Drosophila melanogaster: one gene and its partner. Changing the gene in region 2 together with the main gene of any one other region gives a genetic interaction. Each region holds a gene or a part of one and is shown on either strand. Other genes may lie near its edges. The genes, in order: CSN6 and Trc8.

The links.
Region 1: of Trc8 (region 2) and CSN6, a change in one rescues a mutant of the other (synthetic rescue), as found in Drosophila melanogaster (one study listed by BioGRID).

Annotation. Positions count from the first base shown.
Region 1 is NT_033777.3:22,578,892-22,582,760, reverse strand, and holds CSN6 (COP9 signalosome subunit 6), read right to left. Parts: upstream 1,989-3,869; 5' UTR 1,867-1,988; coding exon 1,486-1,866; intron 1,428-1,485; coding exon 783-1,427; 3' UTR 728-782; downstream 1-727. Other genes in the region: Dph5 (diphthamide methyltransferase), read left to right, coding at 1-556; CG33110 (uncharacterized protein), read right to left, coding at 3,045-3,326. UniProt on the Drosophila melanogaster protein: Component of the COP9 signalosome complex (CSN), a complex involved in various cellular and developmental processes.
Region 2 is NT_033777.3:29,498,222-29,505,483, forward strand, and holds Trc8 (TRC8 ring finger protein), read right to left. Parts: upstream 5,329-7,262; 5' UTR 4,905-5,328; coding exon 4,508-4,904; intron 4,053-4,507; coding exon 3,482-4,052; intron 3,268-3,481; coding exon 2,730-3,267; intron 2,673-2,729; coding exon 2,498-2,672; intron 2,293-2,497; coding exon 2,096-2,292; intron 2,038-2,095; coding exon 1,837-2,037; intron 1,772-1,836; coding exon 1,421-1,771; 3' UTR 804-1,420; downstream 1-803. Other genes in the region: FipoQ (F-box involved in polyQ pathogenesis), read left to right, coding at 1-10, 79-282, 342-477. UniProt on the Drosophila melanogaster protein: Plays a role in growth inhibition that is dependent upon COP9 signalosome subunits CSN5 and CSN6. May modulate signalosome levels or compartmentalization. Probably functions in the same or a related pathway to VHL during early midline development.

The DNA of each region.
Region 1 (3,869 bases), 6.9 Mb from region 2:
CGCCAAGGAGAAGAACATCCCCTACAAGGTCATCCACAATGCATCGATCATGAACGCCGTCGGCTGCTGCGGCCTGCAATTGTACAAATTCGGCGAGACCGTTTCGATTCCGTACTGGGACGAGACATGGAAGCCGGACAGCTTCTACGACAAGATCAAGCTGAATCGCCTGCACAACATGCACACGCTGTGCCTGCTGGACATCAAGGTGAAGGAGCCCACGCCGGAGTCCTTGATGCGCAAACGCAAGGAGTACATGCCACCGCGTTTCATGACCGTGGCGGAGGCGGCTCATCAGTTGCTGTCCATTGTGGAGAAGAAGGACTCGCTGGAGAAGAACACAGTGCTCAACGAGCAGTCACTGTGCGTTGGACTGGCCCGTGTTGGCCAGGAGTCGCAGCAGATTGCCGTTGGCACGCTGCTTGAGATGCGCTCGACCGATTTGGGCGGACCGCTGCACTCGCTCATCATTCCCGCCAAGGAGATGCATCCGCTGGAGGTGGAGTTCTTGCAGCAGTATGCCCCCAGCATCAAGCTGGACGACTACAACCACTAATTCCGCTGCGAAATTACCTAATTTAGTGTCTAGGAAATGTTGTCTGTGCATCTGAATTGAATTTACGAAGCAAGAGGAGCTGGAAGCTCAGGAAGAAAGTGATATCGCTTGATGCCACCCGTATACGTATGTAGCCTGCCCAGCGGCAGCTGAAATAAAACCGCATTCACCCATCGTACGATTATGTGTATTTATCTCCGAAGCTTTAATAGATTGTTTGCATATATCAATAGTAGAGACCTCGCATGCGGCGCGCGGATCCCTGGCGGTCGTACAGCATATTAAACTTGTTCACAAAGTGGTGCATATCATTGCAGCCCTTGGTCAGCGTGCCCAGGTAGCTAATCAGTCCCACATCGTTGCACTGCGTGTAGAATTCCTCCTGGAAGGCGGGCACCTGCATGACGGGCAGTCGGTGGCAGAGAGCGTAGGCTTCTCGCAGAATCTCTTGGTTGGCCCGCAGCTTTCCGGCCTCCACATCGCGTATGTACTGCAGCACGATCTTGATGCGTGTATTTAGCATCTTAATGGCACTGTCCTGGGCCACCAAATGCTCCGCCACCACGCTCTTCTCGCCGGACTCGTTCGAGGTCATGCGCGCCACATGATCCACACCAATGCGCTCCGCCTCCTCGGTGGCCAGTGTGTAGGTGAGGGGCACGAACAGCATGGTGGCCTCGCCGTCCACCAGATCGATTAGGGACTCGAATAGCTTCAGGGGAAGGTGGTCGACGCTGCGGGAGAGCGGATTCAGCTGTAGCATGATGGGGCACTCGTTGATGGCGGCTATCTGTCTTTGGATCTTAATGTCATCGGCAGTGGGATTGTCGCCGGTTGTGTACCAGCCTATGAAGTCGAGATCACTGAACACCTGGGGAAAAAAGAGTAACAGCTGGTAAAGCAGCGTATGTAGAGGCTTGGACACCCACCTGCTTGTACTGTTGTTCCTTCTTGTTGTAGTAGTCCTTGTTGATCACTGTTTCATCGCCAATAACGTCCGTCTTCAGTTCGAACGAGTTCATAATCTCAATGTTGCGGCCCTTCTGCTTGCCAATCAGTGCTCCGTACACCTGTCGCGGCTCACCGTGCTGTGCACGAAAGCGTGTCCAGTGCTCGGAGATGTTCATTATGACCAGCGGATGCAGCGATATGGTCACAGAACCACTGGTGCCCGCTGCAGCCATTATGTTTCCCTGCGGCTGTGGGTTTTGATCCGCAGTCTTATCCACTGCCATACTGCTCCCGGCGGCGGCGGAGGACGATGTGCTGGGCTTGGCCGACATGTCAACGTCCACTTCCATTTGCTCCATGCTGTCGGGGGGCCTTTATTTACACGTAGTTTGCGGTATAAACTTAATTTTACTTCTTTTTGTTTGACAAGCTCCGGTATAAGCTGTCGTTATCGTTATTGGTGGTCTCTCAGTAGTACGATATTACTTATCGCTATCTATCGGGACAGCAGAATGGTGTGACCACACCTTATGCAGTCTAAGCAGTGGCGCGAACCTTTTTAAACTGAACGTCGGCGTTGCCGGCTCGATTATAGTATTAGCGAGTACTATATTTGAATTTATGTTTTGTAATTCCTGTTAGCTTAATTATGCGCCAAATTAACCATATATATTTCTATTAAAGCATTTTTAGTCAATTCGGTTACATATATTTTTAATATGCACTAGATTCGTTTGTGGAAGTTTCTAAAATTGATATGTTTCTAAAATTTATTTATCTCTTTCGCACCGAAAGACCCTGCCAATATACAGCTCAGTTTTTTCCGCTGTGAATTTAGAACATATTGAAACCCAGTTGGTTGGTTTTCGGTTTTATTTTATTTATCTTTTCTTCGTTTTTATTTGTCTTGGCTTTTAATTTCGTGCTCGCCGTATTTGTTCGTGCGAATTTTGTAAGTTAGACTAGTTGGCTTAGGACTACAAATATTTAACATTTAACAGGCTATTTACAAATCGTCTATACACAATTACAATTACAATAATCACTTAGCCTAAGGGAATTAAAGACTAAACGCGTTTCGTTCGTGAGGTTCTAGAATTAGGCGACTTACACATTAGGCAGATCTCGAAAATTGACCCAGTTTGTTGTACGGTTCTACACATGCGAATGCAGCCACAGATGGCGAGAATGCGATGCGATGCGAAGCGAAGCAATCAAGCGAAGCTGGCGAGGGGATAATCGCCAAGTTATAATTGATGTTGCGCATACGCCCCGTGTTCCCCATGCTCGATCGATCGATCATCGGAAGGCGGACTTCCTCTTCTTCGTTCTCTTCTGTGGTTGTGTGTGTGTGTGCGTGCACGCTCGTGTATTTATGGCTCTTAAGCTTAGCTTAGCGTTAGTTGAAACCTTTGTACCAAAACTACTTCCGTTCCGTCCGTTGCCATCACCAATCTGGTCCGTTTATGTAAAATTTGTTCCCCCCAATGTTGGGCAATCCCTGGAAGCACTTTTCTCACTGCTTTCGATTTTCAATTCAGTTGGCTTTCAGCTTTTGCGCCAGCATCGCCGTGTTATTGTTGCTGTCCGCCTTGCAGGGCGTGGCATCCAGTTGCTGCTGTTGCTTCTGCTGTTGCTGCTGCTGCTGCAGTTGCTGCGCCGCCTTGGTCTTCCTGTAGCTCTGCATGTAGAAGTTCATGAAGAGGCAGAAGAAAATGGATGCATTCAATAGGAGCAGCGCAGAGATGAACTTGGAGAACTGGCACTGGTTGCTGAAGAGGGCGCGGAGGGTGTGGAAGATGCACAGCACGAACTGGGCCTAAAAAAAAAGGGAAAAATAATATGAATTTTACAGAGATCATATACTCATTATACCCTAGTTATAGTAGGTTGCACAGCTAGACCTTGTTTTCTAATTGTTGATGTAATTTTTATCGTGCGTCCAAGCAGATTAACGTTGTCTTGTCTAATCACACATATTAAGAATAAGGTTGTGGGAACCATATGGCAAACAGACTTGTTACGCTTGAATTCTGGGAAAGTTCCGAAGAGAGAGCACACGCCTCCTTCGAGCGGCTTGCTCGCAATCAAAGCTCAACTTGACCCACCTCTTTATGGTCATTGGCGCTGTCGAAGGGCATTGAGTGGAGCTTGTCTCGTTACGGAAGTTGTAACGTCATTCAATTAGCCAGTTCCCTAACTGCCGAGTCATAACTTATACTTTTTGCAGTCCGGGTTACAGCTCTTTGAATGCTGCTAATAAAACGGCTGGCAGTGGAGCACCCTTGAGCTGGGCGGGCAATCAAAAAGCACTCAGTGCGGCTACAATGTGCGCACATTGATTGGAATTAGCCGGAGTGTC
Region 2 (7,262 bases):
GCAACTGCAAGTAGGCGACACTATTGGTCATCGAATGAAAAGACATTTTATTATGAGCTGAACTTTCTTAACCTGCAGGATCATTGTTATGGGCACCGCAGAGAAGCTGGGCGTCAACATCCACGTGGACCAGCTGATGGACACCATCGCCTCGAATTGCGGCAACTTGGAGCGGCTGGAGCTGCGCTGGGATCCGGACAACCTGCGCTTCTCCGACAAGAGCCAGAAGGCCATCGATATTCTGCGCGTCAAGTGCCTCAAGCTGCGCTGCATGGTGCTCAGGTGGGTCTACATCAGACTCCTATTTCTATGCGGGATTAACATCAATATTTCGCTTCCAGCGATGGTCGCTACTATGAGACGGTCAAGGCCAACTTTGAGCGTGCCGATCGCATCACCGTGGTGCGCACCACCACCTGCTGCCGTGTGTCTCCCTATCACCTGCTCCGCAACTACAACGATTTGATTTTCAACTGAGCCTCTGAGGTTCAGAGCTGAAAGCCAAGAGAGGATTGGTAGCTTGCACTTACCCGGTTGCAGAGCTCTGGATGGGATTTACCCACAACAGGGCCGGAGGAGAAGCAATGTTTCTGTGTGTTTTCGCTTACAATAAGAGTGTTTTAATGTTTTCTGTATTTTCCGCTTCTTTCGTTTAATTACTTTAAATCTAAATAAACGTACATAGGTAATTTAAATAAAAACAAAACAAGGATTTGCTTATACAAGTTATTTTTACATTACAAAATTATACAACGCAACTTTTCGCCTTGCTCTCGTTTTTAAATCATTTTTTTTTTTTTTTTAATCATTTCAATCCGCGTTGATTCGTGTTTTGTTTTTAACTAGATTTACTTGGTAACTTGATTAAATCATTTTCAGACTTCACCACATAAAATGTTTATCGTTTTTGCGTTTTAGCGTTTTGCTGATGATTTTTACACTGCTTTCATCCATTGCAAACTTAATGCTAATTTAATTTTTTTTTTGTGTGTGTATGTTTCAACATTTTTGAATCGACTTTTTACCATAAACTTAACGTACATATGTAGATCATCTCCGTTTGAATTATCGTCTCATTGCCGATCAGCGTTCAGCTATTATATGCATGGTATATAATTTAGTTAAGCATAGCTGCGTGAGTTATACATACGTAATGTCTGTGCCTATGACGATATAGGATCGAAGGTGGGTGCTGTGGTCGAGTGCTGGGCATTGGTGTGCTGGTGTGTTACGAATAGATTGCTCTTTGGGCAGGGGGAATAGAGAAGCCTTGGGTCGCTACAAAGATTTGCATTTATACATAAGTACACTAACGCACAGAACGTTTCCAAGTCGTAAGATATATATATATATAAGAAACGCAAGGTACGCCGAGCGCTCCCGTTCCGTTCGATTCGGTCCTAGCCTACCCTATATGCGACTACTGCTGGTCCTGCGACATCCGGAACATGTGCGTCGTATTGCTGGCCGCCGCCGTGGCCACAGCAGCAGCCGAGGTGGCCGTCGGCGGCGGCGATTGGGCGGATGCGGTCATGTAGCTGCTGTCGCTGCTCCCGCTGGCGCTGATTCGGTGAGTGGCGCTGCTGCTGCTGGCTACGCTGACCAGCGAACGCGCCTCGCCCACAGCCGCTGCCGACTCCACGATGGCCGACACTGCCTCCGCCCCGATTGTCGCCGCTGCGCTGGAGGAGCTGGTGGCGGGCGCCTGTTCTGATGCTTCGACTGGAGCACGCTCCGGAGAGCGTCGCTGCGCAGCTGCGTTGTTGGCGTCCTGCATGTTCAAGGGAATAGATGTACATTGAGACTAACAACAGAGTATCCCCATTTGTTACTCACGTCTCGCGGGTATATCCGCATCGGCTGCTCGGCCTGGGCAGCTGGCGCTGGCTCCGCCTCCGGCGCATTCTCATCCGCCTTGTCCGTGTACATCATGATCTCGTGGCACAGGGGGCAACGATCCTGAACGTACAGCCATTTGCGCAGGCAAACGCCGTGGAAGAAGTGGCGACACCGCGTGATCTTGGCGGAATACATTTCCTGCAAAACGATAGTTGAGTCACGTGCAATATTGCATGCAATACAATACAATACGCACCTGATAGCAGATGGCGCAGACATCGTCGAATGCCTGCAGCTGGGCGGGAGTTGCCTCTGGCAGGGCTGAGATCTTGTGGACCGCCGAACGCCGCTTCATGAAGACCGACCAGCCCGCCCGCGCCTCGCACCAGATATTGAAGTAGGCGTGGATGCACATCATGATCGCTCTGATGCCGCCGCCTGTAGCATTTTGGGCTATCAAGTTATAGTTATCGGTACACAAAATCAACCAAATAAAAATATTACATGCACACATAGAACAGAAAAGCTGGACGCGGACAATATGGGCTCGATGATATCGAGATGGCTAGATCAGATGCCAATGGAATGCGGTGATGATCACTCGCGCTTACTGATGTGCTAATGTAACAAGGACGGGACACGCTGCGCTCCAACTTACCAGACTCGAAGATCAGAATCCAAGCACCGTTGATGAACAGCAGGATGCCGAAGCAGAACTCCACTGAGTTGCCGAACGCGCGCACATAGTACAGGTAGTCGTCCAGCTTCTCCCAGAAGAACTGCCGACGCGCGTCCAGCAGGAAGAGCGTGTAGGTGGCCAGCGAAACGAGAACCTGCGGGAGAAGTAGTAGCTGTAGCTCTTGAAGCGTACATATCGCATTCGCACGCACCTTGACGACGACCTCCACAGAGAAGGCGGTAACCGCTAGCAGCCAGGTGGAGATGGATTGCTGCGACCAGAGGTGGTAGAGCAGAGACACTGACAACACCACGAGGAACGCGCAGACGGAGAGGGCGCGCACATGGCGCTTCCGCGAGGGATTCCGTGCCGCACTGAGCGACATCAAGATGGGCGACACGATGTTGTGCAGGAAGTGCAGCAGAGCGGTCATCAGCAGGCACAGATTGCGGCACAGCCTGATGAAGCGTTTGTCCGGCGACAGTGAGGTCAGGCCCGTCTGCAGAGCGAGGATGTAGAAGAGCACTGCGGAGACAGTGCCCAGCGACTTCTCCTCGTCGTCGTAGGTGAGCAGGTACCACTGGAAGCCGCGTCCGATGTAGTGGCAGAACATCGAGATGACGCCCGTCATGCCCAGCACCGCCGTCATAGTCTCACAGCCGTCGACCAGCAGCTTCTGTGTGGCCGTCATTAGATCCAGGGGCTCATCCGATTCCGTCGTGGCCAGGGCATAGCCGCCTTGGATTAGTCTGAAAAGCAGGGTGTTCTATTCGATCATTATGCATTTAAACCAGTTAATCCGTTTGCTTCGGCCATTAATAACATAAGTCTCGGAATGGATATTCAATTCTGTGATTGATGGCCTTGTTCCATTGACACATTAACGCTCCAAATGCAAGAATTAGAATGTTCCACGTGCATGATTAACATAAATTAATGAACCGCTTCGGAAACGAAACCCACCTGATGGTCCAAAAAACCCTCAGAACGTTGGGCACATTGAGCCTCTGCCATTCGTTTTCAATGAGCGCCGACAGTCCAAAGTTGGACACAAAGTTCATGGCGTACTGGTATCCGTTGTAGACCGTGCGACTGGCCTCCATGGCGCTCTGCATCAGCGTGATCTTCGTGAGGATGATGGGCGTGAAAACGGCCACCACGGGCAGGTGTTGCACCACCTTCGCCGGCAGCGGCAGCATGGCCAACAGAATTGGACTAGCGAAGATGATGGGCATCGATCTCTGGACATGTTCGAACCTCGGTCCCAGGTGAATGTAGGCGAACAGCATGCCCATGAACCACTGGGCCATCAGATGCGGCGCCAGCGACATGACCACCCCGCCCGAGTCCAGCAGCCTAGTGGTGTTCAGTGACATGAGGTCCTCCACCATGCTGGGACTGCGCTCCGTCAGCGCCAGCGCACTCACGTTCGACCAGTAGGACAGGAAGGTGAGGCCCAGCGAGGTGAGGAACATGTAGACCATCACCAGGTGCCGGGTCCACAGCATGAAGATGCACGCGGCGGATAGGAAAGCTGCAAGAAAGCACACAGATTGTGAGTCAGGCATATATCTACGTTTCGCTGGCGTTCAAAGTGCGCCCAATAAGCGGCCCTTGGAATTCTGGATGACTTCGCAGGCAGATCGAAAACAATGAACTCGAAATAACTTAATTGCCTGTGTTTACGTTTTGGGTTCAATGGGAATGCTCAAGCTTGCAATTCACGCTTTTTAAGGGGTAACTAACTATTCATTCATATACATACATGGCCTTTTTGCTTGAGTAAGCATTATATTCGATTCTGCGATTACTTGTTATCTCAATTTAACTCATATCTAAGTTATTATGAAAGTTACTGACTAATCCTTGACCATGACGTGTAGTTAAATGTAGTTAAATCTCATCCCTGACCTTATATGCTGAGCATTAGAATTCTAAGCAGATATATAGATGTGACCGTTCTAAGCGCAACCCCTGTAGATGACTCACCGAACACGCATAAAACGAACTTGACCGTGGTGGTGCTGAGCACATCCGCCAGTGTTTGGTCCTTGGACAGCTCGTTCATCAGCGAGTTGAAACCGGAGCTGAGCATGCCGTGCGTTTTGGCCGCCTCGGAGGCCTTCTCGATGCTCTGTTCCAGCACAGATTGGGCGGAGGTGGTCATGTGGGAGAACAACTCCTTTATGCTGGTGAACGGATCCTGGCCGGATGGCACCGCTGGCGCTTCTGTGGGCGTAGCAAGTGCGCCACTGGCCTTGTCCTTGTCCGGATAGAGCCACGACTGCATGCCCATGTCCATCTTTAGTATCTCATCGATGACCATCACCGGTGGCACGCGCATCATCACGTCCACCAGGCCGAGAACCTTCGTCCGCACGGACATGGCTCCCTATATGTATCCGTAACCGTATCCCGTATCCTTCTCCGGGCTTTTGGCCTCCTCGCTTTGCTTTGCTGATCCCGCGTGACTAGGCACTAATCGCGAGCCAATCGAGCTCCAATCTGCATTTGTTGTGGATTCGCCTTCGTCTTGGATTTCGCAAAAAAACAAAAAATAGACGACGGAATGACGATTTGGCTGCGTGAGTGTGTGGGTGCGTGTGTGTGTGCGTTCGCATGCAGCAGGTGCAAATTCCCGCTGGCGCGTCGTGGAAAAGGTCGTTGCGGCAGGCTGCTCGTTTATGCTCCGCTTTTGGCCACACAATTGCGCTGCGCTCTAAACTTTACACTTTTCACAATTGGTTTTTGTTTTTCTCCTCTGCTTCTCCTCCTTCTTCAGCGGCCCATCTATCGATTGGTGCTGCTGCCTATCGCTGCGGTCGCCAGTGCTGCCCCGCGGCCCTGCTTTCGCCGGACTATCGATTGTCGTTGCCAGCTGATCGTGTGGCGCGCTTTTTGAAAATTCCCTCTGCCTTTGAGCCGCGAAACGGCGCGTGTTGCTGCGTGTCGGTCTGGGGTACTGGTAATTTTAGGTATTCTGTTCAAAAACTACGTTCTAAAGGGTCTGGTCTAGCCTTCTGTGTGCGATAGAGAGACACTATTGGGCAGAGTTTACTTTAACTTGAAGCCGATTGAGGTTTGGGTAGCAATTTGGTTACGACTTGTTGCTTCAGTTATTGTTGAAACATTTAACTGCATTTACTATTTAGTTTCTAATAGTTACAGTTTTACATTCACTCAATATACAGCCTAGGCTGGTGTTAACAGAGCTGTTAACTGATATGTCCAGTGTTGACTAGTGCTGCTGTTAACTTGGCGCGCTGTCTACGAAATTTAAATTTGTGCTGAATCCAAAAAGTAATAACTAGCAGGCTAGAATATCCGATTACGTAAGGTATTTCATTTAACATTATGCTTACAGAGGAACGAGCAAACCCCTTAAAACATTTCCTCTGCTCATATTTCCCGAAATGCCCGCAGTTTCTAGTTCTAAAAGCGAACATTTCCTGCATTCTTGCGAATGCGCCCAATTCCAATCCAATCCGTATCCGCAGGGCCCCGAAGTCATTTACGTGAATTTCCTCAATTGTTCGGCCATTAACTTTTGCCATTTGCCACCTTAATTGTTGTTCTTTCTTGTTTTGTGGCACACAGCCCCTGGAAGAAGCCCCACTCCCCCCACCGAAATCCACAACCCTTTTTGCTATGCAAATGCACAAATTGAGGCAACGGCAACGGCAAATGCGATGCAGTCCGCATTTGGGTTTCGTTTTGGTTTCGTCCCCAACGCAACGCTCGTAATTATGCGCAATTGTTTAGCGTTTAGCTAGGAAAGTTCAACTAACATAATTGATTTTTCATGCCGCGCCACAAGAATTTTAAACAAACTGCACAGGTCATAACAAAACAAACAGACGAGGAATGCATGTTTGTCGAATTTTTTGTGTGAGCTACGAGTACTTCTTTTAGTTGTAGTAGTAGTAATGATACATTCACTATTACTATTGTTATTATATTATAGTAAAAATTCACCCAAATTAGTGTTAGATAACCACGATCATTTTCAACTTTGAGAGTGTCTAAAGTTTATGCAATATTCGTTTTTATTTATTCCGCTAATTTGCATAGTTTTCTGAAGTTTTGGGCTGGCGTTTTGTGTTGCATACTTCGTGGGGCTGCAATGTGCGCACTGGCGATTTGAATTCCATTTTGGCAGGACGTGGACGAATAGCTAACACTCCCCGAGGCACTGGCCGCCCAATATGGGCCTCATATATTCAACATAATCAGTGTAATTGTCAGCGCAATGAGCCGGGGGAATCGCTGGGCTACTGGGAGCCCAGTTCGATGGCTCCAAGCATCCAGGATCCGCTCTCTTCGCGGGTCTCACGCACGGCAATTGTATAATTTATCGCTCCAGTTCTAATCGGCAGCTGTCAGGAGGACGCCTGAGCTGTTGGCCGAGTTGGTTGGCCAGGTTGTCTGGCCAGGCGAGTCCAAGATCTCGGGGGAACGATTTAATTCGCTGGCCATATAAGTCGGAAATTTGTACGTTGATTAACGCGCCAATCGTTTTACACAACAACGTACAAAGTGTCGATGGTCTCCCCCCCCCCGCTCCTCGGCGATTTACCACCGATTTAGACCCACTTTTTCAACGGCTGCGGCTCCAATCGCAGTTTCATTTCAGCCGTCTACGTGTGATTTCATTGCACTTGCAACTGCACAGCGAGAATATCTTTGGTCTAGCAGGAAACTGCACTTTGTATCGTCTATCAACGCTCAACTCCGATTTCTCCCA